Linked DNA regions of Elephas maximus indicus. The protein of the gene in region 4 purifies or fractionates together with the protein of the main gene of each other region. This does not show direct contact. Links are inferred from orthologs where the notes say so. Each region holds a gene or a part of one and is shown on either strand. Other genes may lie near its edges.

The links.
Region 1: the proteins of TULP3 (region 4) and IFT140 purify together in Homo sapiens (affinity purification with mass spectrometry; 5 studies listed by BioGRID and IntAct, counting the BioPlex papers as one, with this or other methods). This does not show direct contact. The link is inferred for Elephas maximus indicus from reciprocal best matches to the Homo sapiens genes TULP3 and IFT140.
Region 2: the proteins of TULP3 (region 4) and TTC21B purify together in Homo sapiens (affinity purification with mass spectrometry; 5 studies listed by BioGRID and IntAct, counting the BioPlex papers as one, with this or other methods). This does not show direct contact. The link is inferred for Elephas maximus indicus from reciprocal best matches to the Homo sapiens genes TULP3 and TTC21B.
Region 3: the proteins of TULP3 (region 4) and WDR19 purify together in Homo sapiens (affinity purification with mass spectrometry; 5 studies listed by BioGRID and IntAct, counting the BioPlex papers as one, with this or other methods). This does not show direct contact. The link is inferred for Elephas maximus indicus from reciprocal best matches to the Homo sapiens genes TULP3 and WDR19.

The regions. Positions count from the first base shown.
Region 1 is NC_064830.1:58,722,128-58,729,404, forward strand, and holds the start of IFT140 (intraflagellar transport protein 140 homolog), read right to left. Parts: upstream 3,021-7,277; 5' UTR 2,740-3,020; intron 1-2,739. Other genes in the region: CRAMP1 (protein cramped-like), read left to right, coding at 5,502-5,510, 6,943-7,079. UniProt on the Homo sapiens protein: Component of the IFT complex A (IFT-A), a complex required for retrograde ciliary transport and entry into cilia of G protein-coupled receptors (GPCRs).
Region 2 is NC_064824.1:64,019,469-64,027,121, forward strand, and holds the start of TTC21B (tetratricopeptide repeat protein 21B), read right to left. Parts: upstream 3,004-7,653; 5' UTR 2,871-3,003; coding exon 2,850-2,870; intron 1,777-2,849; coding exon 1,647-1,776; intron 1,554-1,646; coding exon 1,443-1,553; intron 1-1,442. UniProt on the Homo sapiens protein: Component of the IFT complex A (IFT-A), a complex required for retrograde ciliary transport and entry into cilia of G protein-coupled receptors (GPCRs). Essential for retrograde trafficking of IFT-1, IFT-B and GPCRs.
Region 3 is NC_064823.1:121,674,536-121,681,963, reverse strand, and holds the start of WDR19 (WD repeat-containing protein 19), read left to right. Parts: upstream 1-4,407; 5' UTR 4,408-4,574; coding exon 4,575-4,580; intron 4,581-7,428. UniProt on the Homo sapiens protein: As component of the IFT complex A (IFT-A), a complex required for retrograde ciliary transport and entry into cilia of G protein-coupled receptors (GPCRs), it is involved in cilia function and/or assembly.
Region 4 is NC_064822.1:59,077,423-59,084,679, forward strand, and holds the start of TULP3 (tubby-related protein 3), read left to right. Parts: upstream 1-4,250; 5' UTR 4,251-4,387; coding exon 4,388-4,443; intron 4,444-7,257. Other genes in the region: RHNO1 (RAD9, HUS1, RAD1-interacting nuclear orphan protein 1), read left to right, coding at 317-484, 1,633-2,187. UniProt on the Homo sapiens protein: Negative regulator of the Shh signaling transduction pathway: recruited to primary cilia via association with the IFT complex A (IFT-A) and is required for recruitment of G protein-coupled receptor GPR161 to cilia, a promoter of PKA-dependent basal repression machinery in Shh signaling.

The DNA.
Region 1 (7,277 bases), on a different chromosome or scaffold from region 4:
ACGGGAGCAGATTTTTTTCTCCCTAGGAGTGGCTGTGTGGATTCCAACCACATCTTGTTGTTAGTGGCTGAGCACTTAACCACTGCGCCACCAGAGCTTCTTAATAAAATACTCAATGATAATATATCCATGGAGTTTCAATTCAGAAAATATGTGCACGTCTTTTCCTTGAAACAAACTCTGGGTCTCTACAACATAAAAACGCCGGGCAAATGTCTGGGCTTTGGGGAAAAGAAAAATCTTTTTATCGTTTATTCTAACTGATTTCCTTTCTCACCTCCATGTCTCCAACATATTCACAACCTCTATAAATGCCACCACTAGTAAGATTTTTGGAAAGAATCCCTCAAGTTTATTCAGATAAGGCCTTCTAGGATCCCTGGTTGCGCAATGGTTAAGTGCTCAGATACTAACCAAAACATCAGTGGTTTGAACTCACCCAGCAGCTCCGCTGGAAGAAAAGACATGGTGATCTGCTCCCATAAAGATTACTGCCTAGGTATTCCCATAAGACCAGACTTAATGGTCTGACTGAGACTGGAAGGACCCCCGTGCTCATGGTCCCCAGACCTTCTGTTGCCCCAGGACAGGAACCATTCCCAAAGCCAACTCTTCAGACATGGATTGGACCGGACAATGGGTTGGGGAGGGATGCTGGTGAGGAGTGAGCTTCTTGGATCAGGTGGACACTTGAGGCTATGTTGGCATCTCCTGTGTGGAGGGGAGATGACAGGGTGGAGGGGGTTAGAGGCTGGTGAAATGGACAGGAAAAGAGAGAGTGGAGGGAGGGAGCGGGCTGTCTCATTAGGGCGAGAGTAATTGGGAGTGTGTAGCAAGGTGTATATGGGTTTTTGTGTGAGAGACTGACTTGATTTGTAAACTTTCACTTAAAAAAAACTGACTTGAGTTGCAAACTTTCACTTAAAGCACAAAAAAAAATTATTAAAAAAAAAGGATTACTGCCTAGGAAACCCTATGGGGCAGTTCTATTCTGTCACACGGGGTCGCTATGAGTCAGAATCGACTCAGTAGCACCCAACAACACCACTCCTTGGAGACATTTTGTAACAGAACCGAAAGGAATGAAGCCCTAAAGGGGGACTTTTAGGTAACAGGGAGCTGAGTGTGGGGGTGGGCACTGGGGTAAAGCCTCATGCTTGAGGCCACAGCTTGTGAGCCTATGGTCAGTGCAGGGTCATTTAGCTGCATCTAGGCGACACCACTCGATCCACTGGGTCATAGGTATCATTTTATGTCACAGGATTTTGGACAAATGGCCCACAATGCCATTCTTATTCTCTTTCAGGTGCACTGGGTTAAGTATCAAATCTGAGGGTGCTGCCCCCAACCCCACCCCAGTGCATACCGCAGGGGTGGACATCAATTCAGACAGCAGTCAGAGACCTGGGATTGTGCCTGGAGGTAACAACAGCCAGCATACCAAGTCCTGCGTAGCTCTCTTGCGATGCTCGTGATTGTCCTACAGAGTTACTGATACTGTCCTTTGACAAGGCAGTAGCCCTAGCATGGAGAGGCGAGAAGAGAGCCCATGGCCTATACCAGGGTTCTCCCACTAGGCACCCTGGGCTGCCAGAACAAAAACCAAACCTGTTGCCGCTGCGTCTATTCAGACTCATAGCAACCACATAGGACAGAGAAGAACTGTCCCACAGGGTTTCCAAGGCTGTGAATCTTTAGGGAAGCAGGCTACCACATCCTTCTCCCAAAGAGTGGTTGGGTTCAAAAAGCTGACTTTTCGGGTAGCAGCTGAGTGCTTAACCATTGTACTACTAGGGTTCCTTATAATAAAAAAAAAAAATCCTTTGCCAAGGAGTCAATTCAGACTCATGGTGTTGTTGGTAGGTGCCATCCAGTTGATTCCAACTCATAGGGACCCTATGCACAACAGAACAAAACACTGCCCGGTCTCATAGTGACCCTATAAGGAGAGTAGAACTCACCCTTCGGGTTTCCAAGGCTGTAATCTTTGTGGAAACAGACTGCCACGTCTTTCTCCTCAGGAACCGCTTGAGGGTTGGAACCACCAGCCTTCTGGTTAGCAGCGAAGCGCTTAACCGTTACCCACCAGGGATCCTCCCCTGGGCTGCCACCCACACCTAACCCGGCCCGTGATTGAAAAGGCAGAACAAGTAAATCGAATCCACTTTGTGCCTCGAAACAGCAATGCAAAGAAAAGAGAGGTTGGAGAAAATAAGGCGGCCCGGGTTTAAAGGCCCCTAGCCCAGCCTGGAAATCCTGGTGGCTAGTGTTTAAGCGCTACCGCTGCTAACCAAAAGGTCAGCAGTTTGAATACACCAGGGGCCCCCTGGAAACTCTATGGGGCAGTGCCATTCTGTCCTGTAGGATCGCTATGAGTTGGAATGGACTCGACCGCGAGGAGTTTGTTTTTGGTTAGCCCACCCTTGGTGGCCTCCTCCGCCCCGACTACCCCCTCAGAGACCTTGAGAGAGGGTGTTTTTGGGGAGGGAAATAACTCGAGGTGACGCTAGGCCGGGGTGCCTGGCCGGCCCACCCCGGTTCCGCCTCCCTGCGCCCCAGCCTCCCGAGTCCCCGACTCTGGCCCTCTCCAGTCCTCAACCCGACCCACATATCCGCCACGATCCCCGGAGTCCTCAATCCGACCCCCACATCGGCCCACGAATTCCCGTGACCCTGTCCCCGGAGCCGCGGCCCGTGACCACGACCCCAGCCCCAAACCCGGGGAGGGAACGAGCTCACCTCAGCCCGGGCCACAGCGCCGCCGCCCGTTGCCGGGACAACGGCTGCGCGCGGAAGGCGGAAATAGCCGAAGATGAGTGAGGAGAGCCGAGGGGGCCGGAAAGAGCCGAAGACGATCGGGAATGTTCGTGCAGCTCGGAGGGCTGGGATTGACCCGCCTGCGGACTGCAAGTCGGAGGTTTTGTGGTGCGATGTGTCCTCTAACCAAAAGACTGCAGTTTGAATCCACCAGCTGCTCCTTGTAAACCCTATGGGGCAGTTCTACTCTGTCCTGTTGGGTAGCGATGAGTCAGAATCCACTCGACCGCAACGTGTTTTTTTGGGTTTGAACCCTCTCAACCATAAAGACACGAAGCCAAGGCGCAGAAGCAGATTATCCAATAGGCAACTTAATCACGGTTTTTACTTTGCTTACCAGATCATCTGTAGTGAATAATTTCACATTTTTTCACCACATTAAACGTTCTGCTTCTAGGTAGGACTGGCACCTGTCTCTCTCCCAACCCCACAGCACCCTCCTACAGAATCAAAGCCTCTTTTCAAGTTCACAATCCCTGACAGAGGCAGACGACCCAGTAAACAAGGTAAGCATGGGTTTACTTGTGCTTACCTACTAATCTGAGGTGAACAATTTCACATAGGTCTCACCACATCAAAGAAATTGCTCACTACATATGATTTGGTAAGCAAAGTCAGCACCGTGCTTGCCTTGCCTATTGGATAATTCACCTCTGCCAAGGCGCCAGGATATGCTGTACTAAGAGAAAAGGGAAGCTGTAACACATCTCCTAGGTGTGGCCGGGCAGTTCTACTCTGTCTTATAGGGTCACTATGGTCATAATCAACTCAATGCACACAACAACAAATATACATACAACATTTGCCTATTTGACACTTTTCACGTGTACAATTTAGTGACATGAATTACACTAATCATACTGTTCAGCCATCACCAATATCTGTTGCCGAATTTTCCATCACCAGAAACAGAAACTCACTGCTTCCTAGAACGCCACTGTTCTTTAAGATGTTTTAATTTCCAGTTAATCTTAATGCAGGATGGTTCCTGATCCCAGGCCATTTGTTTGGCTCTGCTTTCTTTGTCTTGTCTTAAAATGGAGAGTGTGGTTCAAGAGTATTTCTGAGAAAAGCCAGCTGGTTCCATAGAGTTTCTTGAGGTTTTCAGGTCATTTCTTACATATATAAATGTTTTGGGTCCCATATGGATTCATTTGGCAAGAAATGGTGGCCAAAGACACGGGTTTATCCCATCAGAGACCATCTTTATTCGTCGCCACGGGCTGTGTGCCCACAGACGTTAGCAACATGTGGCCTGGTCTGAACGGTCAGATGTGGCTAAACTGACTCTGAAAAACAAACCAATACATCTTTAACTGTTTGAAAGCGGTCAGCATCATTAAAAAGAGAATACAGTCACAATAGCAAAAAGATCCACATTGTGAAACATGAGCAAAAGTAAAAGATGAAAATGTAGCTACTGCTAAGTTGGACACACAAGGAAATTCTATTTTTTAAAACTTCGTTTTGCTTGGAAGGAGTGCAGCCAGAATGCTTATTAGAAGCAAGGATGGTGAGACTTGTCGAAACTTCTCTCACAAACTTTGGACATGTTATCGGGAGGGATCAGTTCCTGAAGAAGGACATCAAGCTTGGTAGAGGGTCAGCGGAAAAGAGGAAGACCCTCAAAAAGATGGATTGACACAGTGGCTGCAACGATGGGCTCCAGCATAACAACGATTGTGAGGATGGCCCAGGACCGGGTAGTGTTTCGTTCTGTTGTACACAGGGTTGCTATGAGTTGGAACCGACTGGAGGGCACCTAACAACACCACATTAGCATTTTAAAAACACTCCTTTGTCGCCATTACGGAGAAAAATGATTTAAGCGCCTAACATAGCCAGCTACGCCAAAGAAGCTCCAAAGGAGTACCTCCATCCAATAAAGGGTGTGTTTATCTCGCTTAAATGTAAATTTACATCTTTTGGTCAAAAGCCACGTTCGCGCCGGATTCAAGACTCGGAGTTCAGGCTGTGTTTTCTCTCACGCATCCGTCAACACTGCCTCGACCAATCACAGCCCGTTAACTGACCCCATTGGCTGTCGCTTCACCAGTCCGGAGAGACGCCTCAGCCCCGCACCGCCGCGGGGACGTCGGCACAATGTTACGCGCGTCCCAAGTCCGCCCTGCCGCCCCGCCCAATTCCCGTGAGTGCAAGCGCGCGCGTCTGCTGCTGGCCAATGGGAGGGCCGCTCGGGGGTCGCGCTAGCTGGAATGCCCAGGCGTGCTCGCCTCCGCGCGAGTCGCTCCGCCCCGCGCGCAGGCGCTAGCGCCAGCCCCGCCCCGGCCCCGCCCCGCCCCGCCCCCCACTCCGGCCCCGCCCCGGCCCCCGCCCCGGCCCCCGCCCCGGCCCCCGCGTCTACGAGCCGTGCGGTGGTCCCTGTCGGCTGCCGTAGCCGGAACTGCTGTGAGAGCGGCGGGCCGAGCCCCCGGGACGCTGAGGGGCAGGCGCGCCTGCGCTCGCTGCCCCGTCTGTCGTTCGCCGGTCCGCTGAGGAGACGAGTCCAGCGAACGACGCGCGGCCACCGCGTCTGGGGAGGGAGGAGCAGCGTTGCGTCGCGGCCTTGCTTCAGCCGGAGCTCAGGGCCGGGCTGCCCGGCCGGGCCGATTCTGCGGGCGCCTCCTGGGCCGCGGGCAGGAGGTCCCCAGGAAATCGGGAAGCCAGGCTGCCGCGAGGCGTTGATGAAAAAGGTGACCGGGGTCTCGGGAGGGCCGGCCTCCCTAGGGACTGTCATGGCGGGCCCGGGTCCCAGTCGGCAGGTGCTGCGGGCTGAGCGGCCGGTGACCTCGTAGAGCCGTCTGGCCGGGTCCTATGGAGCCCCTAAGCCGTCCAACCGTGTGCACGCAGAAGGCTTTGGGCAGTTTGGGGGAACCCTCCTCCGCTCACAGTGTTGCATCGGCAGCGTTCTTTGTGCGTGGACAGAAATCTACCCAATAGCAAATTTTACTTTTCCCATCCCGAAACGTGACACATGGTGTCAAGCTTTGATGGGGGTCGAGATGGAGTTCACCTCTGTGAAGTCAGGAAGGTTTTCAGTAAAAGGATTCAGTTCCTGTGTTTTTCTCTGCCTTTAGGGGAAAAATCTGAACTATGCCAATATTCTTTTAATTCTGGATAGGGTTTTAGTGTTTTCCACCGTTCTATCAGACAAATGCACAAGTTATTCTGTTGAGTCTGAGGGATGTTTTGCTCGGGTCCTAGGCTGGTTGTGGGTAGCTCTGGCATCATAGGTCCCTCGGAAGTAGGGTTCCCCAATCAATAACCCATGGAAAGGCCTTTTGGGATATTTTCAGGTTTCTTAAGTAGAAAGGGATAAATTGAAAGTACTAAGGAGAAGTCCTACTCAATGAAGTCTTTTAAGTTTGGGTGTTTGTCTTGTGTTGATCTGTTCTTTGACAGAGCTATTATTTTTTTACAAGCGATCTGTAAAGTCAGTTCGAATAGATAAAAACTGCTGCTGATCATTTGGTGGCAGAATATGGCAGACTAGTGGTACTCTTACGATCTTACTTATTTACCCATTTCCAGACTTTTGTATAGGAAGTCGTTGTCCTCTTACTGTATTTCATTGTTGGTGTTAGTACCTAGCTCTTGTTTTCCTTTAATGGACTGTTGCCCTCCTCAAACAGTTGTGTTGTGCATGGTATCAAACAGTTGGGGCATAGGATCTAAATCTGTTAAAAAAATCCAATATATAGCTTTCATACACAGTATTGGATATTTCTGGCCACAAAATATTGACCTGTCCCTGATTCTCTTAGTTCAACTTTGATCAGACCTGCCTTCTGGGTTGCAAACATTTTTACCATCATTGCATCTTATTGTTGTTGGCATTTTACACGCTGCGGGTAACATAGTTAATGCAGGAATTTTATTTATGGTTACCAAGAGTTTTGACAACAATTTTCTTCTGCTTATTCCTGCCCCTGGACCTGGAAATCACCTGGGGCCGTCACTTTGACGGCTGCCTCCAATCTGTTAGATGCAACAGGCTCCTTTGTTGCAAAAGCATTTTTTTAAATCCGTAAACCCCCAGCAGCAGCAAAAACCCCACACCCTGGGATGCAAGATTCCCAGAAACCCCAAGCTCATGGTCCCTCTGCATGTCTGTTTTCAAATCAGAAAGCGGACGGGCAGCCGCAGGCCACCAAGGAGTCCCCTCCGCGGGCCGGCCACCCCGCGCCCCTCCGCCTCCGGGGTCCATCAAGGCCCCTAGCCCCTGCTCCGAGGCCACCTTCAGGAGCCCGCGTGCGGGGCAGGTGCGCGGGCCCCGGGAGCCCCACGCCGGTTTCCAGGGGCGGGGAGGGGGTGGTGACGAGGCCGGAGGAGCTGAGCGGCGGTCCGGCCCGGGCGGTGCGGGGGAGCGAGCCGTGCGCGCAGGCGGCCCCGCGGCGCCGAGGCCATGAGCTGCGTGCCCGCCGGGTACGTGGCTGCGGGACCGGGCCCGGCGCCGGGGC
Region 2 (7,653 bases), on a different chromosome or scaffold from region 4:
CAGTATTTACAGACATGTGGGACCTTCCTGGAGCTCAAACCCATTCAGGATCATCTACAGTGGAAAGCAGAGTCAGTGCTCAGGTGTCTCTAGCCAATATTTCTGCCTCCGTCTTTTTAGGGGCTTAGAAACCACTTTACCCAACAGAACCAATACATAAGTCTTAATAATTAAATGAACATACCAAGAAGGAAATATTTTGTACTAATTTCTTTTTCTAGACTTAGTATCGCTCTCAACTACAAATTCTCTGCTCCAGCTAAACACACGCTCCGGTAAAGCACAGTGAAAGGGGATCTAATCCTAAACAGCCTAATCCTGAACCACTTCCATGTGTCTACCCAGGTTATTTTCTCTTGTCTAGCAAATACTCTTCATATTCAAATCCTATCTGTCCTTCAAAGATCAGATTACGTCCCCATTTTTCACAAAGGCTTCCCAGCTTACTCCTATGGATTAATACTACATACCATTTCCAACTAATTATGGATTCATTTGTTTCACTTCTTATGATTTAATAGTAACACTGAAATTTAATCTTTTAGGTTTTTATATTTTGCTCAACTAGATTATAAGCCTGAGGTAATGGATTACTTCTTATAATTTTTTTGTATCTTTCAACTACACCTGCCACTGCACTAATTGTCATATTTGTTTACTTGCTAAACATACTGTCTTATATAATTTTTTATGGGTTTATACATATGTATGTGGGGTGAAGGAGATATGTAATACTCTGCTTAGGAAAAAAATAGTTTCTAAATTTTCCTAAACCATTCTATAACAATTGGTTATAATCTTAGTCATTTGAAACAGGTTCTATATTTACAATCCTACTAGCTATTAATAAATATATATGGGAGAATATAACTCTACTCTTTTATCTATAATTTGGATATTCTGCCTCAGCCAATAAACTAAGACAGTCATGCAACCTTAATTAATTGCTTGCTTATGTATAACATTCCTTCCATAACCTGGTCATATTTCTCAGCCAATTACTGGACAAAAATCTGGAGAGTACCTTCCAAGAGCTAATTCACATGGGGGATGTAAAGACTTTCAAGAAGCTTAAAATATAGTAAAAGAGATAACCTGTACACAGAAATGTTTCCACATAGTAAGTGATAAAGTTGGCTCCTACAGAGTGATTTCTGTGTACATCTATTTTTCAGCTGGCCTTTTTTGCATAACAATTGCTAATACATATTCATCTTTAGGTTAACTCACATAATCCCTATGCACTAATAAAACCTGTGCCACAGGACATAAGGAATATGAAAGTAGTTTAAAGACAGGTATTCCCTGTGTTTGATGAACCTACCAAGTTCCTAGACAACATATAATACAGCACGATCAGACTGAATGTTAAAATAATTGAAAAAAAATCAAAATGAACTGAGTAGGGCAAGCTGCCTAAGTGTTGTACTTAAATACTATACCTGGATTAGGACTCATTTTATGGGCATATATCAGTGCAATTAGAGAGCAAAGTGATACATCTTGTTTATTTTTAATAGCCTCAAATTCTCGAAGAGCTTCTTGAATTTTACCTGAAAATCAAAAAGATTATGATGTGAAAAACAGTTCATAGTGCAAAGCCAGAAATTAAAATTTTTGGAGCATGCTTAATAATTACCACACACCTTCCATTAATGTACCATAGGCATGATAAAACCTGAAGACTGGGTCACTGCCGTATCTCTTAATTCCTTCACTGGCAACCATTAGCACATGATGGAAATATCTCTCTTGACAATAGTAATTAATCAAAGCCTAAAAGGAAATAAGGACTAAAAATTAAAAAAAAAAAAAAGATTCTGGTGGCCTGATACACTTTTAGAAGCAGATTAATCTAAAATCCTGAATAAAGCTCATGTGATTCTTTTAAGTTTCCTTAAATCGAGCCACTTTTCACCTCTTTGCCCACCTTTTCTTAACAATTTTAGAAAACAGGAAAATAAACAAAAAAAAGGGTTTAAAAAAAAAGGACAAGAAGTTCCCGTTAGTAGACTCTAGGTTTCTTTAAAAAAAAAAAAAGTCTTTTTAATACTCACTCTGTAACAACAAACTTGTTAACATTACTGTCAAATATTATTTACCTGAGGCTTTTCACAGGCATGAGGCTACAAACTCTGTGAAGGCAGAAGCTGTGAGGTTCTGCTCATCACTGGATCTCCAGGTCGTAGTGGACAGAGTCCTCGGTAAATATTTGCTGAATGGGTGAAATCAGTGAACAAACGAGACCATCATCCTAAAGAAACCGCTTATGTTTTCCAGTCTCGTGTCTGTTTCCATATGCTCAGTTATTAAGTGGGCCCTTATTAAGAATTTGCTGAATGGATGTATCACTGATAATATGAAAAAAAACTATCACACTAGAATAAAGACTCCTCCCTTTTCAAGCCTCATGTCTTTGTTTTCACATATGCTTTCCGTGTTCCTTTCCCTATGGAATGGGAAGAGAACGTTAGTTTGCTTTAAGTCCTTAGAAATCGCAGCCCGAGGTGCAGTGAGTGGCATGTGGTAATCGGGCTTTCCGCAAACACGACACAGAAGTCAAAGTAAACACAACCAACTGGAGGACCAGCTCACCAACGGCCTTTAAAAGGCAGCGCCCCGAGTGAGCTGCCGGGACCTCTAGTCCGCAGAAGGGCCCTGGAGAGCAGACAAGGTAACGTGGGCTGCAGGCCCACGCCAGCGGGTGGCACCCGGACTCAGGGCACCGAAATCCCGCCAGACTAACGACCGCCTCGCGGACCTCACCGCGCTCTCTCCACGCCCCCATCGCAGCGCCACTCCCCCAAACAGACCAAGTCCAGGCCGCCAGTGGCCGCCCGCCGCCTCACCTTCAGCCCCAGCGAGTCCATGGCTCCCCGACACTGGCGCGCAGGGCCCGTGGGCGTGGGTCCCCCGCTGCCCAGAGGAAGAGCCGGAGCCGCAGGACGCCGCGCCGAGGCCCAAATCCGCCTCGCCCTCCCGGACGCGGCGCCAGGGGCGGGGAGGGACGCGCTGCCATTGGCCGCCAGCGGGAGGGGGCGGGCCCTTGCTGCAGGGATTGCGGGAGGCGCCGAGGAGGGGCGACCTGGGAAGGGGGATCCGGAGGGCGGGCTGCGGGGGTGACCTGGGGAGGGCAGGGGCTGAGGGAGGGGTGCTAAGGGATGGGGGGAGTGGGAGAGGACATCCGACGAGGAATAGCCCTGGGGGAGAGTGGGTGGGCGGGCACAAGGCTAAGGAATAAAGGAAGTGAAGGAGGAAGTGGGAAAAGGGCAGATCTGTTCCCCATCACGGACTAGAAAGAAAGACACCATTTTCTGTTCATTTGTGTTGAGGCAGATTCCCGCAATGCGGTTATCTGAAGGCTTGACCAGCGCATAGAAAATGCTTTAACTTTCACGTGTAATCGTTGCGTTGTGGCCACAAGGTGGCGCAGAAATATCACAAGTTCTTAACAGAAATGGGTTGAGCTTCTTGGGCCCATCTTTGCCGGCATTTTTGCAATCCTGTTTGTTGTTAAAATGCATATTAAATTAGTTCATTTTTACCAGTCGTGATAATGAAGGGGACAAATGAGGTAAACAGAGTCTTAGTGGGTCTTTGTGTATTTTTGTACTATTGATTTTAAGCTGAGAATAAAACTAATCCCTATGCAAACGTTCATGTTTGAACCCATCAGGCAGCTGTCAGTTGCACAAAGATATGTTCAGTTGTTCAGATAATTAAACTGGGATGATGGACTAGAGATTTCCTATTTCTGCTTAAGGAGATTTCAAAAACAGTGGAGATTTGAGATTTAAGTGGTCTTTGTAGAATCCTTTACATGAATTCCAAATTCTGATCCTAGTGTTAATTTATCACACTTTAGTTGACAAGATCCTAAGTTATTTTGACCAGATTTTAAGTTTCTTCAGGACTCAATAAACATTAACTTTTTTTATGCTGGTAGGTTATGTGCAAGGTCCCTGGGTGGCGCAAACAGTTTATGCTGGACTGCTAACCTAAAAGTTGGTGGTTTGAACCTACCCAATGGTGCCATGGAGGAAAGGTCTGGTGGTCTGCTGCTGTAAAGATCAACCAAAAGCCAAACCAAGCTCATTGCAGTGGAGTGAATTCGGGCTAATCGCGACCCTGTAGGACAGGGCAGAACTGCCCCGTAGGGTTTCCAAGGATCGCCTGGTGTGGATTCCAACTGTGACGTTTTGGTTAGCAGCCGAACTCTTAACCACTACATCAGAGCCAAGAAAAAAACATGGAGCAGTTCTACTCTGCAACACATGGATTGTCATGAGTCAGAATCAACTAAACAGCAACATGTTTTTACAGGCTTAGGTTATATACCCTGTGGAGCACAGTTCTACTCTGGTATACATGGGGTTGCCATGAGTCGGAATCAATGACAGTCTTAAGGAGCAGTGTGGCTATAACCCAGGCTCCAAGGCAAAGCAATATTTTTTCACCAACTTCCTTTTAAAGTGCATTCAACCCAAACCAAAACCTACTGCCATCGAGTCCATTCTGACTCATAGCGACCCTATAGGACAGAGTAGAACTGCCACATAGAGTTTCCAAGGAGCACCTGGTAGATTCGAACTGCCAACCTTTTGGTTAGCAGCCGTAGCTCTTAACCACTATGCCACCAGGGTTTCAATGCAACCCAAAGAGGCACATATTATTTTCATGAAAACTGTTACTCTGTTTCCAACATTCATACTGTTGTTGTTAGGTGCTGTCCAGTGGCTTTTCTACTGATGGCAAGTGACCACACGTGACAGTAGAACTGCCCCATAGGATTTTTGTAGCTGTAATCTTTACGGAAGTCTGTCTTCTGCAAGTGGGTTCCTACTGCCAACCTTTTGGTTAGCAGTTGAGCGCTTAACCAATGTATCACCAGGGCTCCTTCCAACATTCACAGTCAAGCTAAAGTTTGTGGTGGTAGACAACCAGTAATAGCTGCTGGTCTGATTTTCAAAACGTGGATTAATCTGCACTCACTATGCAGCAGAAAATTACAACAGTTCAAGGTGCTCATCAAAGTGTATAATCTTGAATTGCACGATTTTGGTTCCAGTGAAAAGTTCATCTGGAAAAAAAGATCTGTAGATGTTGGCTTAAGGAGCTCACTTCTCTGAGTTCTTTAAACTCTAAACTCAATTACAATGACTTCCTTTGGACTGCCATATGATACTTTGTTTTTCTTTAAAAAATAGCCCAGCCATTCAGATATCTGATGGCCCAGAATTTATGACATCAGTCAGTTTACTTTCTGCACACCTGAACTATCAGATGTAATAATGTTTTTACTCAAATAACGTGACGAGACGCACCAAGAGAGTTATTTTTCTTGGTTTTCTTGGCTAGATCTTGACATTTCATTTATGCAAAAGTAGGAAGGGGACACAGAAAAATGCACTTATAAAGAGTCTAGTATTTTGAAATAGAAAGAATGAATTATTTAAATGTTTGTTGTTGTTATTAGGTGCCATCGAGTTGGTTCCAACTCACAGTGACCCTACATACAACAGAACAAAATAGTGCCCAGTCCTGCACCATCCTCCCAATCATTGTTATGCTTGAGCCCATTGTTGCAGCCACTGTGTCAATGCATCTTGTTGAGGGTCTTCCTCTTTTTTGCTGACCATCTACCAAGTGTGACATCCTTCTCCAGGGACTGGTCCCTCCTGATAACATGTCCAAAGTATGTGAGATGAAGTCTTGCCGTCCTTACTTCTAAGGACCATTCTGGCTGTAGTTCTTCCAAGACAGATTTGTTCATTCTTCTGGCAGTCCATGGTGTATTCAATATTCTATGCCAACACCAAATTCAAAGGCTTCAATTCTTCTTCTGTCTTCCTTATTCGTTTTCCAGCTTTCACATGCACATGAAGCAAATGAAAACACCATGGTTTGGGTCAGGCACACCTTAGTCTTCAAGGTGACATCTTTGTTTTTCAACACTTTAAAGGAGTCTTTTGCAGCAGGTTTGGCCATTGCAATGTGTTATTTGATTTCTCGACTGCTGCTTCCATGGGCGTTGATTGTGGATCCAAGTAAAACGAAATACTTGACAACTTCAGTCTTTTATCCATGTATCATGATGTTGCTTATTGGTCCAATTGTGAGGATTGTTTTTTCTTTTCCTTGAGGCGTAATCTATACTAAAGGCTGTAGTCTTTGATCTTCATCAGGAAGTATTTCAAGTCCTCTTCACTTTCAGCAAACAAGGTTGTGTGATCTGCATATTGCAGGTTGTTAACGAGTCTTCCTCCAATCCTGATGCTGCGTTCTTCTTCGTATAGTCCAGCTTCTCAGATTATTTGCTCAGCAAACAGATTGAATAAGTATGGTGAAAGGATACAACCCTGACACATCTTTCTTGACTTTAAACCGTGCAGTATTCCCTTTTTCTGTTCAAACGACTGCCTCTTGATCTGCCTCATGAGAGCAATTAAGTGTTCTGGGATTCCCAGTCTTCACAATGTTATCCATAATGTGTTATGTTAAAAAAAAAAAAAAATTTTTTTTTTTTTTAACACATGATCAAATGCTTTGGCATAGTTAATAAAACACAGGTAAACATCTTTCTGGTATTCTCTGCTTTCAGCCAAGATTCTTCTGACTTCAGCAATGATATCCCTTGTTCCATGTCATCTTCTGAATCTGGCTTGAATTTTTGGGAGTTCCCTGCCGATGTAATGCTGCAATCGCTTTTGAACGATCTTCAGCAAAATTTTACTTGGGTGTGATATTAATGATATTGTTCGATAATTTTTGCATTCTGTTGGATCCCCTTTCTTTGGAATGAATACAAATATGGATTCATTGATTGGCTAGGTAGCTGTCTTCCAAATTTCTTGGCTTAGATGAGTGAGCACCTCAGGTCTCGCATCCGTTTGTTGAAACATCTCAGTTGGTATTCTGTCAATTTCTGGAGCCTTGTTTTTCGCCAATGCTTCAGTGTAGCTGAGACTTCTCCCTTCAGTACTGTCTTAGTCATCTAGTGCTGCTGTAACAGAAATACCACAAGTGGATGGCTTTAACAAAGAGAAATTTATTCTCTCACATTCTAGTAGGCTACAAGTCCAAATTTAGGGCATCAGCTCCAGGGGAAGGCTTTCTCTCTCTGTCGGCTCTGGAGGAAGATCCTTGTCATCAATCTTCCCTTGGTCTGGGAGCATCTCAGCGCAGGAACCTCAGGTACAAAGGCTGCGCTCTGCTCCAGGTGTTGCTTTCTTGGGGTATGAGGCCTCAACTCTCTGCTTGCTTTTGTTTCCTTTTATCTCTCGGGAGATAAAAGGTGGCAGGCCAGACCCTAGGGAAGCTCCCTTTATATTGGATCAGGGATGTGACCTTAGTAAGGGTGTTACAATTCCACCCTAATCCTCTTTAACATAAAATTACAATCACAAAATGGAGGACAATCACCCAATATTGAGAATCATGGCACAGCCAAATTGATACACACATTTTTGGGGGGATATAATTCAATCCATGACAAGTACCATTTGTTCTTGATCATATGCTACCTCCGGAAATGGTTGGACATCTACCGGTTCTTTTTGGTATAGTGTCTCTATATGTGTTTTCATCTTCTTTTGATGCTTCCTATGTCATTTAATATTTTCGCAGTAGAATCCTTCAATATCGCAACTCAAG
Region 3 (7,428 bases), on a different chromosome or scaffold from region 4:
GAAAAGCTCAATATCATTAGTCAGAACAAGGCCAGGGGCTGACTGTGGAACAGGCTATCAATTGCTCACATGCAAGTTCAAGTTGAAACTGTCAATTCTGACTCAGAGCAACGTTATAGGACAGAGTAGAACTGTCCCATAGGGTTTCTAAGGAGCAGCTGGTGGATTTGAACTGCCTACCTTTTGGTTGGCAGCCAAGCTCTTAACCACTGTGCCACCTGGGCTCCTTACCTTTTTAGTACTGTATGTTTCTGTATTACTGTAAGTCTTCTTGAACTTAACTGAAACACAATTAACTCATTCATAGTGGTAGATGAAACTACCACTGACATTTTCTGCCCCTGGAGGTTTATTGGCAGGCATTTGAGCCACTTTAGTACATTCTGGTGTTGTGGCAGGTACTGGTGCAACTGCCTAAAAAGAAGGAAGTTGGTTTGCGCTGCATTTGAGTGTTGAGAGCCATTCGCATGAGGTGATGATTCTGGAGGAATGACTGTGCAAAACTTTTGTGTCTTTTGGCTTCTGTACAGCCAGATAAGTCTTGCAAGGATGTTTACTATTTTCTTTGTGTTTTGGGGAAGATACTACTCCAGCATTCAGAAATAGTCAAGCAAGTGAATTATTTTGGAGGTGAAAACAGTTTGTGATGCACTTCCTGGGTCGTCGTACCGATATGTACTGCATGTGTGATCTGCTTCACGGAACACATGACAAAGATGGCCTGCTTGTATTAGTCACCTCCCTGATATCTTTTATAAAGTGCTCATTTCCCTGATGACATTTTTTTATACTCTTCCTGGGCCATAGTACTGATACGTACTGCGTTTGTGATATACTTCATGGATCATGGTACTGATGTGGCCTGTTTGCAACTGGCAGCCCATTTTTTAAAATAATAAAAAATTACCAGCAAACAATGACTCAGCAACCATTTCATCAGTGAAAAAACAGGCATCACACACACACACAAAATTACCCTTTAAAGGATTAAACTTTGGTAACAATTTGATTCTTTTGGGTCTTTTTTAAAAGCTTTGCTAGGCAAGACCAGAGGCAAGATTAGTCTACAACTAATTTTTCCCTAATATTGAATAAAGCCTTTCTGCATACTCTACTCAACGCCCCATGAATTGTGAGGTTTTATACTCTGGCTGGTCTCTGGGTGGTGCAAATTGTTAATGTGCTCAGCTGCTAAGCAAAAGTTTGGAGGTTCGAGTCCACCCAGAGACACCTCGGAAGAAAGGCCTGGTGATCTACTTCTGAAAAATCAGTCATTGAAAATCCCGTGGAGCACAGTTCTACTACATGGGGTAGCCATGAGTCAGAGCTGACTTGACAACAACTGATATACTCTAGCTGGTGGGAACAGGAACTGTTCTCAGTCTTGTGTGAACTCTGAGAATTGCTGCCTTGACTAGTTTCCTTACAAGCATGTCCTGATCAGTACTCAGGGAAGACTTTAAGGGGCACCCTCTGCAGATCTCTGGTGCTTTCTCTTTGTGAAACTCTCTCCTCTCCAGTACTCTGCCATGCAAACTCCAGCCACCTTGGCCTCAGTGGACTTCCAACTTTATTTCCTCTACTTGTGACGACTTGTTGGGGCCCACCATTGTCCCCTTGGAGTATATCATTGTCCTTATGTTTCCCTCCTCCAATCTCATCTCCAACAAATATTTTTCACATTGCTGCCAGAATAATCTTTTTGAAGATCACAGCACTCTTCTTGAAAACCCAGCAGTGGTTTTCCAAAGCCTAAAGAATGAAACTCATGCCCCTAAGTGTGGTATGGAATAACAGTTATGGTCTTGATCTTTTTTTAGGTTACAGATCCACTTGAGAATTTGGTGGAAACGCTCCCAGTAAAACACGTTGTTGTTGCAACACGATGGACATAATTATTGTCACTGAACTGTACATGCGAAGACTGTTGAAATGGCAAGTGCTTTGTTACACATATATTTACAATAAACACAACAGCAAAAAAAATGTTGTAGTTGTTGTTAGCTGCCATTGAGTTGGCTCTGACTTATGGTCACCTTATGTATAACGGAATGAAACATTGCACAGTCCTGCACCATCTTCCTGATCATGATCGTTGGTATGTTTGACTCTACTATTGCAGTTACTACATCACTCAATCACATTGAGAGTTTTCCTTATTTTTGCCGACCCTCTGTAGGGTTGCTATGAGTCAGAATCGACTCGGAGGTGGTGGGTTTGGTTTGGTTTTTGGTTTTCTACTTTACCAAACTGGTTTACTTTACCAAACACACACATATGCAAATACACAATGCTTTACATTCAATTGTGGGCCAGTGGCCCTGGATTCCTCAAATGCGGGACTGGGTGAATGGGCTGAATATGAATACAGGCAGAGTTTGGCACTCAATTAGCTAAAAAGCCAAGAAAGTCTATGAATTTTTAAACTAGAGTTTTGATAAGTAACTGTCTGCTATGTTGTCGCTGCTGTTAGGTGCTGTAGAGTTGGTTCCAACTCATAGTGACCCTTTGCACAACAGAATGAAACACTGCCTGGTACTGTCTGCTATAGGTAAGCACAATGACTCAATTTAAATTTTTGGAGGACCTATTATTTTGACTCTACATTTTTGCTTAAGGCTAAAATAAATAAATAATCTAAGCTTTTGCAGGCTGCTAATTTCTTCAAGAATTACCATTCAGGTCTCACCATCAGGAAGCCTAAAACCAAAAGACCAAAAGCCAAATCCATTGCTGTTGAGTGGATTCTGACTCATAGTGACCCTATAGGACAGAGTAGAACTGCTCCACAGGGTTTCCAAGGAGCAGCTGGTAGATTCGAACTGACAACTTTTTGATTAGCAGCCAAGCTCTTAACCATTGCACTGCCAGGGCTCCTTTCAGGAAGCTTAGTTGCCTAATATCTGTAAATAAACTGACTTCATTTAACTTGTGATATTCATCCTTACCCTATCACTCTTATATTAACTTCTTTTTCCTAGCCAAATCCAATAGTTTTTCAAAGTGTACATCTACTTCGAATCTCTTGAATAGCTTCTCCCTGGCTTGCAGGACTTCATACTCTCCTAATTTTAATTTTTCCGGCATAATTTTCTTTCTCTACATATGGATTTCTCCCTGAACCTTAATGGTCCCATTCCTTCTGCTTTAAATATTACCATGTAAGTGGACAATTTCTGAATTTTACTCCTCTAACATTCCTCCCCTTCACCCAATCACGTAGTAAAGACATCTCCATTTTAATGTGCAGATTTCACACCTAAATTTAGACATCTAAAGATACATAAAATATACCCTGCAGCAGAGAAATGTCCTCAGCTTTAGTATTCCCTGAATGGCCGCAGAATCATTAAAGTAAAAATTTAAAAATTAACCTAACTGAAAACCCCAGTGCATGGGAACAGCATCCTACATAAGAATCTGGGAATATCCATCATTGTTGTTGTTGTTAGGTGCCGTTAGGTCGGTTCTGACTCATAGTGACTCATACAATAGGACAAAACACTGCTGGGTCCTCTACCATCCTCACAATTGTTGCCATGTTTGAGCCCATTGTTGCAGACACTGTGTCAATCCATTTTGTGAACGGTCTTCCTCTTTTTCACTAACTCTCTACTTTATGAAGCACGATGTCCTTCTCCAAGGACTGATCCCTCCTAATAACATGTCCCAAGTAGGTGAGACAAAGTCTTGTCAGCCTCACTTCTAAGGGGCATTCTGGCTGTACTTCTTCCAAGACAGATTTGTTCGTTCTTCTGCCAGTCCATGGTATTCCTTGCCAACACCATACTTCAAACACATCAGTTCTCTGGTCTTCCTTATTCACTGTAGAACTTTCACACGCATATGAGGCCACTGAAAACATGATGGATTGGGTCAGGTGCACCTTAGTCCTCAAGGTGACATGTTTGCTTTTTAACAGCTCGAAGAAGTCTTTTGCAGAAGATTTGCCCAGTGCAATATGTCATTTAATGTCTTGACTGCTGCTTCCATGAGCGCTGACTGTGGATCCAAGTAAAATGAAATCCTTGACAACTTCAATCCTTGTCCGTTATCATGACGTCGCATTCATCATTAGTTATTTTAAGTTAGTCATTTAATTTTCTCTAAGTAAATCATGGTCCTTCCTGATTTTGAAAAAAGACGGATTGTTTCACTATTTCGGCAAAAGATGTACTTTCATACTCTAAATAGTGAAGCACAAATACTACAGCTGGTATAATAGTATTGGTGGGCCAAAATCTACCGGGGCGCCTTTTCGGAGCTCAGAGCCCGCCTCCGGTGGGGGCGAGTCTCTGAGGCTCATCCAATCAGAGCTCAGTCAGGAAGTAGACGTCCTAGCGCCCCGCTGACATCACGTGATTCTAGCCCACACCTCCCACCCGCCTTTGCGAAGAGTCAAGCGCTCATCCCTGCGCGGTATCCTGCTTCGCGAGGCGCCTCCCATCAGACAGCGCTCGTTGATTGGTCGCTGGTCGTGCGGTCTCCTGGGTGACACGAACGCGGTAGCCTTCTTGGAGGAGACGGAGTGCGCTTGCGCACACGCTGCATCGCGCGGCTGCTAGAGCTTTGAGATGAAGGTAAATAACTTAAAAACCCCGGGAGGGCGGGGGCAGGAATAACGCGACCACTGGCCCTTCTCTAAGCCGGCCAAGCATCAATTTGAGGAGAGGGCTGTGTGTCTTCCTCTGTCTTCCCAACTGCGTGACTAGAGATGGGGGAGGGCGGGGACGAAGTTAAAGGAACAAGAGGAAAAGAAAGAAAACACAGGGGCGGAGAGGGAGGCCTCATTTCTGGGACCGCGAATGGGTGGTGTGGGAAGAGGGAACTCCGCCACGGCCGGAAATGGACAGACTGGATCTCAAGAGACCTCGAACTTCGCAAGGCGGAAAGATCTGGTCGTGAATGCGTTTGGAGGGTCTCGGTGAAGTAGACTCGATCGGGTGTCACTCCCACGTGTCACTAGCTGCCTCATTTCTTGCAGCTAAACCTTGCAAGCCGCACAATTGCTCAACGCCTCAGTTACACCACCTAAAAAAAGTGAGAAACCTCTAAAGAATAATTTCAAATTGTATTGTCTGTGATAGTCCAATTTACAGATCCTCTGGTGGCGAGTGTACATTATTCACGGAGACATCTGCACCTTCACACGCAGTTCTCACGTTCATGTGTGTCGTCCTCTGCACACACGGTTTCTAGGCTTGGGCTTCTAGTGAACCCCACTCCCAGGTCACTGGCTATAGCTCATTTACCCTTCCACTTTACCTCAGCAACACCACCCTGCCTTGATCTGGCCGAGGAATGGAAAGCTCACATTTAAAAAAATTGTTCTATACATCCTAATGCTTCTGCGTGGCTGTTAGTATGGAAATTGAGATTGACGGACTGATAAACATAACTCACATTTTTAAAATCACTTTGCAAGTTATGAGGTACTTTAAGTGAGATATTATTATTGCAGTTTTATAATTGGGGATTCTGTAGCAGGAAGAGTTAAAACTTAAATCTTAGTTTTTCTGGTTGTAATGCTAGCACTTTCTCCTCTGCACTGTATATGGAGCATCTATATAGCTCCGCTGAAGAAAAATTATATGTAAGTTCGCAGCCAGAGGCAGGTCTGCTGTGAAAGTAGAGAAGGTCAAGTTTCAGGGCAATGTGGTCATATGTTTTTGTAAAATTTGCAAAAGTGAGATGTTTTCGTATTCTTCTTCAAGAGTGTCTTAAAAAAAAAAAAAAAACAAACCTGGGCGTACCTGTGATTGTAACACAGGTAAGAAACCCTGGTGGTGCAGTGGTTAAGTGCTGGGCTGCTAACTGAAAGGTTGCAGTTGGAACCCATCGGCCACTCTAGGGGAGAAAGATGTGACAGTCTGCTTCCATAAAGATTTGCAGCCTTGGAAAATATATGGGGCAGTTTTACTGTGTCCTGTAGGGTCATTATGAGTAATCCACTCTACGGCAGTGGGTTTAGTTTTGGATAGCTCGTGTATATTTTCAACAGAGATGGATTTCATCTTTGGCATATAAAATGTTCATTGATCAGTGTCTGAGTATTGGAAGAGTTTTGTGTTGCAACTCAAACTGTTAAGTCTCCTGTAGTCCTATCTAAATTTCATATTCCTATGATATAGGCTATTCATAAGGTTTTCACTGGCTAAAGCTTTTCAGAAGCAGACTGCAGGGTCCTTCTTCCTAGCCTGTCTTAGTCTGGAAGCTCAGCTGAAACCTGTCCTCCATGGGTGACTGACCCTGTTGGTATCTGAATACTGGTGGCATAGCTTCCAGCATCACAGCAACACACAAGCCCCCACAGTATGACAAACTGACAGATACGTGGGGACAATGAATAAGGAAGATCAAAGAAGAGTTGACGCCTTCGAATTGTGGTGTTGGCGAAGAATATTGAATATACCATGGACTGCCAAAAGAACGAACAAACCTGTCTTGGAAGAAGTGCGGCCAGAATGCTCCTTAGAGGCAAGGATGGCGAGACTGCATCTTACATACTTTGGACATGTTGTCAGGAGGGATCTGTCCCTGGAGAAGGACATCATGCTTGGCAGAGTACAGGGTCAGCGGAAAAGAGGAAGACCCTCAACAAGGTGGATTGACACAGTGGCTGCAACAATGAGCTCAAGGCTAACAATGATTGTAAGGATGGTGCAGGACTGGGCAGTGTTTCATTCTGTTGCGCATAAGGTTGCTATGAGTCAGAACCAACTCGACGGCCCCTAACAACAACAACATGATATAGGCATCATACCTTTAATAATATTAAATCTAAATTTTCTCACTGAGCTCTGTGTTCCTGTTTAACATAAATATAATGAAAGCCAATGTAATTAAAAATTTTAGTAGCCATGTTAAAAAACTTCAGACAGGTAAAATTAATTTTAATATTTAATTTAACCCAATATACCAAAAATATTATCATTTCAACATGTCATGAATATAAATATTATCAGTGAGGTAGTTTACATTATTTTTGTCATGTCTTTGAAATCCGATATGTATTTTATACATACAGTGTATCAAAATTTGGACTACCCACATTTCAATCAGGTGCTCAATAGCTACATGTGGCTTGTGGCTACCATATTGGATACCACAGTTCTAGATGGTCTAGTGAGGAGAAAAGAATGGTTTTTCAACTGATACCCTGTTGGCCCAATAGCCAGATTAAACACTTAATCTTTAACCAATGGGTAAAAGGAGAAACAATTTTCAAGGAAGTATCCAGTTCCAGTGGAGCTGATTCCAACTCATGGTGACCCCATGTGTTGCAGAGTAGAACTGTCCTCCATAGGCTTTTTATGACTATGACCTTTTAAGCAGATCACCAGGCCTTTCTTCCCAGGCACCTCTGGGTAGGTTCAAAGCACCAACCTCTCAGTTAATATCCAAGTGCTTAACAATTTACACCACCAT
Region 4 (7,257 bases):
TCATCTTTTAATTCTCACTACCCAGCATGGTGTTTAACACATGCTTAGTAAATGTTCACGGGATGAATGTTGTTGAATAGGAACTACTGTGTTTTTGCTTGGTGGGGTAGGTGTAGGAAGCTATGCTCCCCACAATCTTCAGGTGCGGGTAGTAGTTTATAGTAAAATTAGCTGGCAGAGCTGGGGCATCATCTGAGTTATTTTCCTCCCGGCTTTTGTTTCTTCTCTGCAGGCATTGGCTGGAATTGGAGTGTGTCCCAGTACCTGATTGCAGCCAGCATCATGTGGTTACTTACTGCTCTTCATTCACCTATTGATGCCGCCCAGAAAAAAACGCAGCCAGCATTCTCGGAAAGCCCCACTGCTATTCCACCAACAACCACTGGAGGGCCCCAAACACCACTGTGGATCTCCACAGCTTCCCATCAGTCACACTAGACAGGTGCCCAGCAAGCCCATTGACCACAACACCATCACATCCTGGGTAGGCCCCTGGTATCCTTACTTTGACTTTTACTCTCTTAGGCTTCTCACAATGCCGCCTCTTCTGGTCTTGAACAAGGGCTTCCAAAAAATAAGATTTATGGTAGATAGGGACAAAGAGGCCATACACTCTCTTTGTCCATCGTCAGACATCTTCTCTGGTACATCTCCTTTTCTCGTTTCAAATTGAGACATAAGTTGGTTGGAACTGAAGATGTTCCTTTCACATTCCTCTGAAAGAGTTCAGTATAAAAGTTTCACTACCCAGTAGCTGGGTGAGAAAGCCAGATAAATGGCCAGACAAGTGAAAAATGAGATTGTTCCCTGAGCTTCTTGTGAGAAGTGGAATATTTGGCTAGGTACTCTATTTACCATTTAACAGATTGGACCTTGAAAAGAAAAATCTATAGAAATTGTATTATGTCATATTTTCATAGCTTCAGAGCCCTTGGAAGAGGGTATAGCTACTGTATGACAGGGAAAAACCCACTGCCGTTGAGTTGATTCCGACTCAATGACGGGGAAGTAGTATAGAAAAAGGGCCATATAAAGCACAAACTCTGCTTAAAAGTGCCTACTGGATATAACTTGTTTGGGATTGCTGGAAGAACCATAATACTTGCTTCAGGATCGTGGAAGAAACAAACATTAGAATCCTGTGGCTGAGAGTAGGAATGTACACTTATGAGTACTTATGATGTGCCAGGCCCTGTGCTCATTGCTGAACGTACGTGATTTCATTTCCATAATCTTGCGTTCAGCTGCAGTACTTACTGAGGGCCTTCTCTGTACCAAGCACTCTGCTAGGTGCTGGGGACCAATGGTGAACAAGACTGTTAGTCCCTGCCTTCATGAAGATTAAAGACAGATGGTTAAATACGTTGTAATTGTATGGTGTGATGAAGTGGAAGAGACATTGTCTCCTTGATTACACATGAGGAAACTGAAAGCCAAAGAGATTGATATAAATTGCCAAAAGCTCTATTATTATCTCATTAGATAGCTATTTTTGTTTCTGTGTCCCTTACTGTAGTTGGCCCCCCATTTAGGATTCTGGTCATTTGATGTAGTTTCCTGAATATAGTTACCTCTGTTTAGACTTGGTAGTTGGCTTTCCTTACCTTTTTTTTTTTTTTTTTTAATCCTTAGGTATTGCCTCAGTTTGATACAACAGCAGAAAGCTGTTTCCAAGTTTACCAGAAACGTGGTCACCAAGCCCAGGCGAGACATTCAAGTCGAAAATCTACCACTTCCAAGTTTCCACATCTAACCTTTGAGAGTCCACAGTCTTCTTCCAGCTCAGCGACATTGGGGATCCCCTTAATCAGGGAGTCTCCTGAGCAATCAGTAAAGATTTCCAGAAGGCCCTTAGTTCCAGTGCTTAGTCCCCAAAGCTGTGGGGAACCGTCAGTACATACACTTGAAAGCCCAGCTTACGTGTTCCTTCCACCTGATATCCAGACTCCAGGGTCATCTCCCGTGAAGGAAAAACCCATTCTCCCAGATCAGAAGGAAAACAGCCTTCCAAGCTGCTCCCTTCGTACGAGTACTCCTAAGAGCCCAGATCCTGGGCCTGTTCTGGTTAAAGACACTCCTCAGGAGAAGTATGGGATAAAGGTCACCTGGAGGAGACGGCAGAACCTGTTGGCTTGCCTCAGGGAGAGAGGGAGGTTGAGCAGAAGCCAGTTCCTTGTGAAAAACTGACATCAGCCTCTCTCTTTATTAAATTCAGGAAATTGACTGCTGGTTTTCATGGAGTTGCTAAAGTCACTTTTCTGGCTCACAAGAGAGTATATCAATAGAATAAGATGGAAATAAAACAAACAGGAAAAATATATTATAACTAGAGCCCTGGAGTCATAAGGGAATTCAGTTCCCTGATTTGCTTTTTAAAATATCTGGTGTCCTATACGGTCACTATGAGTCGGAATCGACTCCACAGCACTGAGTTTTTTTGGGGGGTGTCATAAACAGTTGATCTTTTTTTTTTTTTATATTAACTCTTGAAAATTAAATTTCTTGTACTAACAAAATGTATGTAAATAGTTAATAGGAAGTTTTTTTAGAGAACGCTGCATTTTACTGTCAATAGTGTAGCAATACTGCCCTGTCCATAAAAGGTCTTTCTGGTTTCCTTTAACTGCTACTCATTCATTAATCTTTTAGTCATCTTTTTCAAACAAATTACATTCTACATTTCTGAGTACCAACTCTGTCAGGCTCAGTACAGCTTCCTCTATGACCTAATAGATAGAAAAAAATCAAAGCAAATTTATTGTGACCTCTTTATGGTTGAGTTGCTGCTTCCACAGCCTTGGCTCATCTGTTGGCAGGGCAAGATGAGGACAGGACAGCAAGCCCTGTTTTAGTGAATACCGTGTGGTCAGGATAGAAAAGGGGTAGAGATAAACTAGGTTTGCTTATGTTTTGGCTTTTTGTTCCCAGGTAAATCTGTAAATATTAAATAAGATGGGGAAATGATTTCCTGTAGTAACAGTTTAAAATGTATCTAAATAAATGTGGAAGGTTTTGGGGGAATATTACTTCCTGTTGTAAATAATGCAGGACTGTCATTCAATCTTATTTATTAAGAACCTGTTTAATAAATGTGTCCGGTCCAGCCTGAGGTTGACCAAGCAGGGATTATTTCGCTTACTTTAGATGGGAATTTGAAGCACAGAGAATGAACTGTCTAGAGGATGAGACAGTGAATGGAGGCTGACCCAGTGACTTCAGTGCTCTGCAGTTCTAGCTTATGTCAAGTTCTGTGCCTCTTAAAAAATCAGCTTCTGTTTTGAAAACTAACGTGGAAACAACTTTGGCCTTGGAATGCAATAAACTAAAGTCAATGTATAGTAACTTTTGTCAGGATATTCTGTAGGGTCTGTAGAATATATAAGTTGGTGGTGAGAAAGGAACTGATGGTTGGGGACAAGATTTATTGGAAACGGGTACAGATTTAGATCCCATTTTATGGAGTATGGATGTTTGAAGATGGAAACTCTGGGAGTAGTGGTTAAGTGCTACAGCTGCTAACCGAAAGGTCGGCAGTTAGAATCTACCAGGTGCTCCTTGGAAACTACGGGGCAGTTCTACTCTGTCCTGTAGGGTTTCTATGAGTCGGAATCGACTCAACGGCGACAGGTTTGACTTTTTTTTTTTTTTTAATGGAGTATGGATGTTTGAAGCTGATTCATAGGCTGTAGAGGGAGTAGATGGAAAAGGTTCTCTGAGTCCTGTAGAGCAGGTCTAGGAATGATCTAAAAGCTTGAGCTGGAGTGGGGGAGGCTGAAGGAGGTTTTGTGCAAGACCGGGGAAACTATATGAAGGATGCATTTAAATGGGGATGACTGCTGGAGGGAGTACGTGTGTGGTTTCCCGGAAGGCCTCTGGAATTAGAAAGGGGCCGGACTGCGAGGAGCCAGCCGAGGTCTGTAAGTCTACGTTACAGACCTCTGGGAGCGCTATGGGTGGTCTCAGGGTACAAATGGCGGGGATGCTAGGAAGTAGCTAAGTGAGTGGCGGTTAGTGGGGGATGGGCGGCTCCTCAGATGGACTAGCATCCCGACCGCTGGGAACCTATGCAGCTGACACGAACACATCCTTCCGCCCTCAGCCCCTTCCCGGTGCCGCGCTCCGAGGGACCAAGCCCCCGTGCGTCATCCCTACTTCAGCGCAGGCGCCTTTAACTCCCGGGTTCTTCCCGTCCCTTAGATACCCTCCCGCATCGCCGGGCGGCGGAAATAGCCAATGAGATGGGAGCGTGGACTCAGAGTCCAATGGGCAGTGGTGATAGTGCGGGGTATGGTTGCCAGGGGGCGGGGCCCGGCTGCGGGCCAGACTTGCCACCCTAGCAGCGGCGTCTAGGGGTCTGGACGTGGTTGCACTTACTGAGCTGCGGGGGATGGAGGCGTCGCGCTACCGTCTCGGGCCCGGCGGGGATAGGTCAGACGGGAAATGGTGACTGGTCTGCTTACTTGAGAGGGATGGGGGGACGAAGTGAGAACGTGGTGGTCCTGTCTGGGAGCTCCGAGGGAGAGGGAGGTGGGCTCGGGTCAGGGAGGGAGGGCCCGATTTGGCCTCCGGAGGCGAGCCCTCTCACCCCACTGCCAGCTGGAGCTACCCGCCCCCCCACGTTTAAAGCTGAGGGTAGAGAGCAGCGGCTCTGCAGCCTTCACTGTGGGCGAGACTTTGGTTCAGCACCCTGCTTGGGCACCTTGGACTTTTCGTTACCAGCTAGCTGTCTTTGCCCTCTCGGGCCTCAGTTTTACCTTACTTCAGGTGCATCAGCTCTGCTCCTCACGGACTGCCTAATGGTGGCATAGCCGAGGTTGGATGCAGTCTTTTCCGAGGATGTCGAAGCAGAAGGTTGTGGGTGGTATTTTGTAATTTGCGCTGATGCCAGTCGCTTTTGGTAGGCGGTGCCGAATTCTGGAACTGAGAGGAAAATGCAGAACTATTCTTCTGTCTGCTTTCTAGTAGTTTATCTCTTATTCGAGTTTGTCTGTCTTATTAGCGAAGGCACTATAGCCGTCGGTGCTTTCTTTCCATGCCTCTTTCTGCCTCCACCAGAGGGAGAGCCTGGAAAGTAAAACGGTCCGAAATCTCAGCCTGTCAAATAAATCCCTGTTAGCCAAGTTAATGAAAAGTTAATGAGGAGCCGGGTGAGATCATTGACTGAAAACTTTGGCATTGTCTGAGAATTGAAATCATACAAGCTAAATACATTCCCCAGTTTTTATTCCACTACCATGGCAAATGAAAATTTGACTAGTAGATTTAGACTAGTAAATTTTTAAACAATCCTAAACCATTTTTAGAAATTGTCACGCAGGAGATGTTGGGTGAGTCAACACCCATTTTCCTTTTTCATCAAGTTCTGCTTATCTACACTCTGAAATTTGTTCACTGCACTTTTTTTTTCTCTTCAAGTGGTGAGAAAAAATAATCTACATTTACAAGTATAAATATGCGAGTGCCGAAGGGTTGAATTCAGATGGTACTTGTTCGGTTTTGACACTTGATAAATCTTAATTGAATGAATTTAAGGCAGTAAATTATGCGAATACCAGATGTTTAATATGACTCATTTTTTTTTTTTTTTTAATGGAATTGACTTTGAAATTGAGACCAGGAGGCAAAATGGTTTTTAACTTATTGGACCTGAAGCCTGAAGGGGTAATTTTAAAGTCTTCCCCCCACCCGTTTTTCTTCCCAAAGAAACCAACTCTTTAATTTTTATAATTGACATCAAAGGGAAATGTGTGAGTCACCAAATGTTTCTCCTGTTAGTGCAGCTTCTATCACTGCTTAACTCATTCGTTGCTGAGGGAGTGGAATGTCTTTTGTTTTTTTTGGCTTTAGGTTTTTTGTTTAATGTTTTTGATAAAATAAGAGTTTTTGGTATTAATACCTTTTAGTGTGGGGATAACATCTGTGATTTTTTTTTCCTCTGAATTTTGTGACTTTTTTTTTTTTTTTTTTACCATGAAGCACATTTATTTTCAATTAAGTGAGAAAGTTACCAACAAGTAAACTTCAAAAAATTTTTTTTTGGTATCTGAAATATTTAGTGAAAATTGAAGGTGAAATTTGACCAGCCATCTCAGGACCTTTGTTAAGGCTTGGTGTTTCATATTATAAATTCCCTGGCTATGAGAGGGGTTGGTTAGTGCTGGAACTTGAGCTCTATCTGCCCTTTTGCTCCAGACAGAGAATTGAAGGTGTGGTGAGAGAGATTTCCCTTGTGACCTTCCGAGCCAGTATTGTCTCAGAAAGTCATGGTCTGTGGTTTATCCGTAGGCCACGATTTCTCTTTAGAATGATCAGCAGTAGTAGTTGTCCTGTCTTGAGTTCTCTTCTTCTGAATTTTTCATCAGATCATCTCATTGTTAGCAGACTTACCCATACATGACTACAGTATATTTGGCAAATATAAAAAATTACCGTAAAGGCCAAGTAGCATCTAACATGCATGTATTTCTCCGAATATGAAGGCTACCTACAGGGCTAGAAAAATCCCTGTAACAGATTTCCTTTCTTCCAAGGTTCTTCTGTTCTAAGCTGCACAAACAGGCCGATTCATATTTTTTGAGCCTTTCTAGTTTCAGTTTCTGGCTTCTTTTCTATGGAAACTCTTTCCCCTGCCTTTGTGCCCTTTGAAAGAAAAAATTAATGTTTTTTTCTTATTGAGAGGAAAAGAATGCTTGAATTACTCAGGGGAGTTGACACTACTCTGCTTTTCGGTATTTGAGGGCTTAGGATTAGAAGGGGCTTTGGTAATTCCCTTCGTCCTCCTGCTCGAGGGCCGCCCTTCAGTGGAATTGTCAAGGCTTCTTTCAAACTGCTTTTGCTTTATATCCTCTGAGTCAGTTCCCTGGAAATAAGCTGTCTGTACTACTGAATGTATTCTGCCTCGTCAGACATCTTTACTGGTAGTAAGAACGAAAACTGCAAAATTTTCCTGGCCGAGTTAAAGTTTGAATTTATTTAAGTCTGAGAGAAGGCATAGTGATGCATGTGCTGTCTTCATTAACTCACTTGTTATTCGATATGAGCCTTGATAATGACGATGTCGTGTCTGTCCTTTTGTCTTAGAACTTCTGTGAAAATATTGATGATTAGCATTGTATCGTATGAGTCACCAGGACCTCTGAAAGACCACACTTCTGAAAGGGATTATAGTAATGTTTTTATTATTTATAAGATGGAACTTTCTGTTTTACCATGTAGCTTTATAATGAGGGGGAAAACACTGGAAGCTTTCCTCAGGCT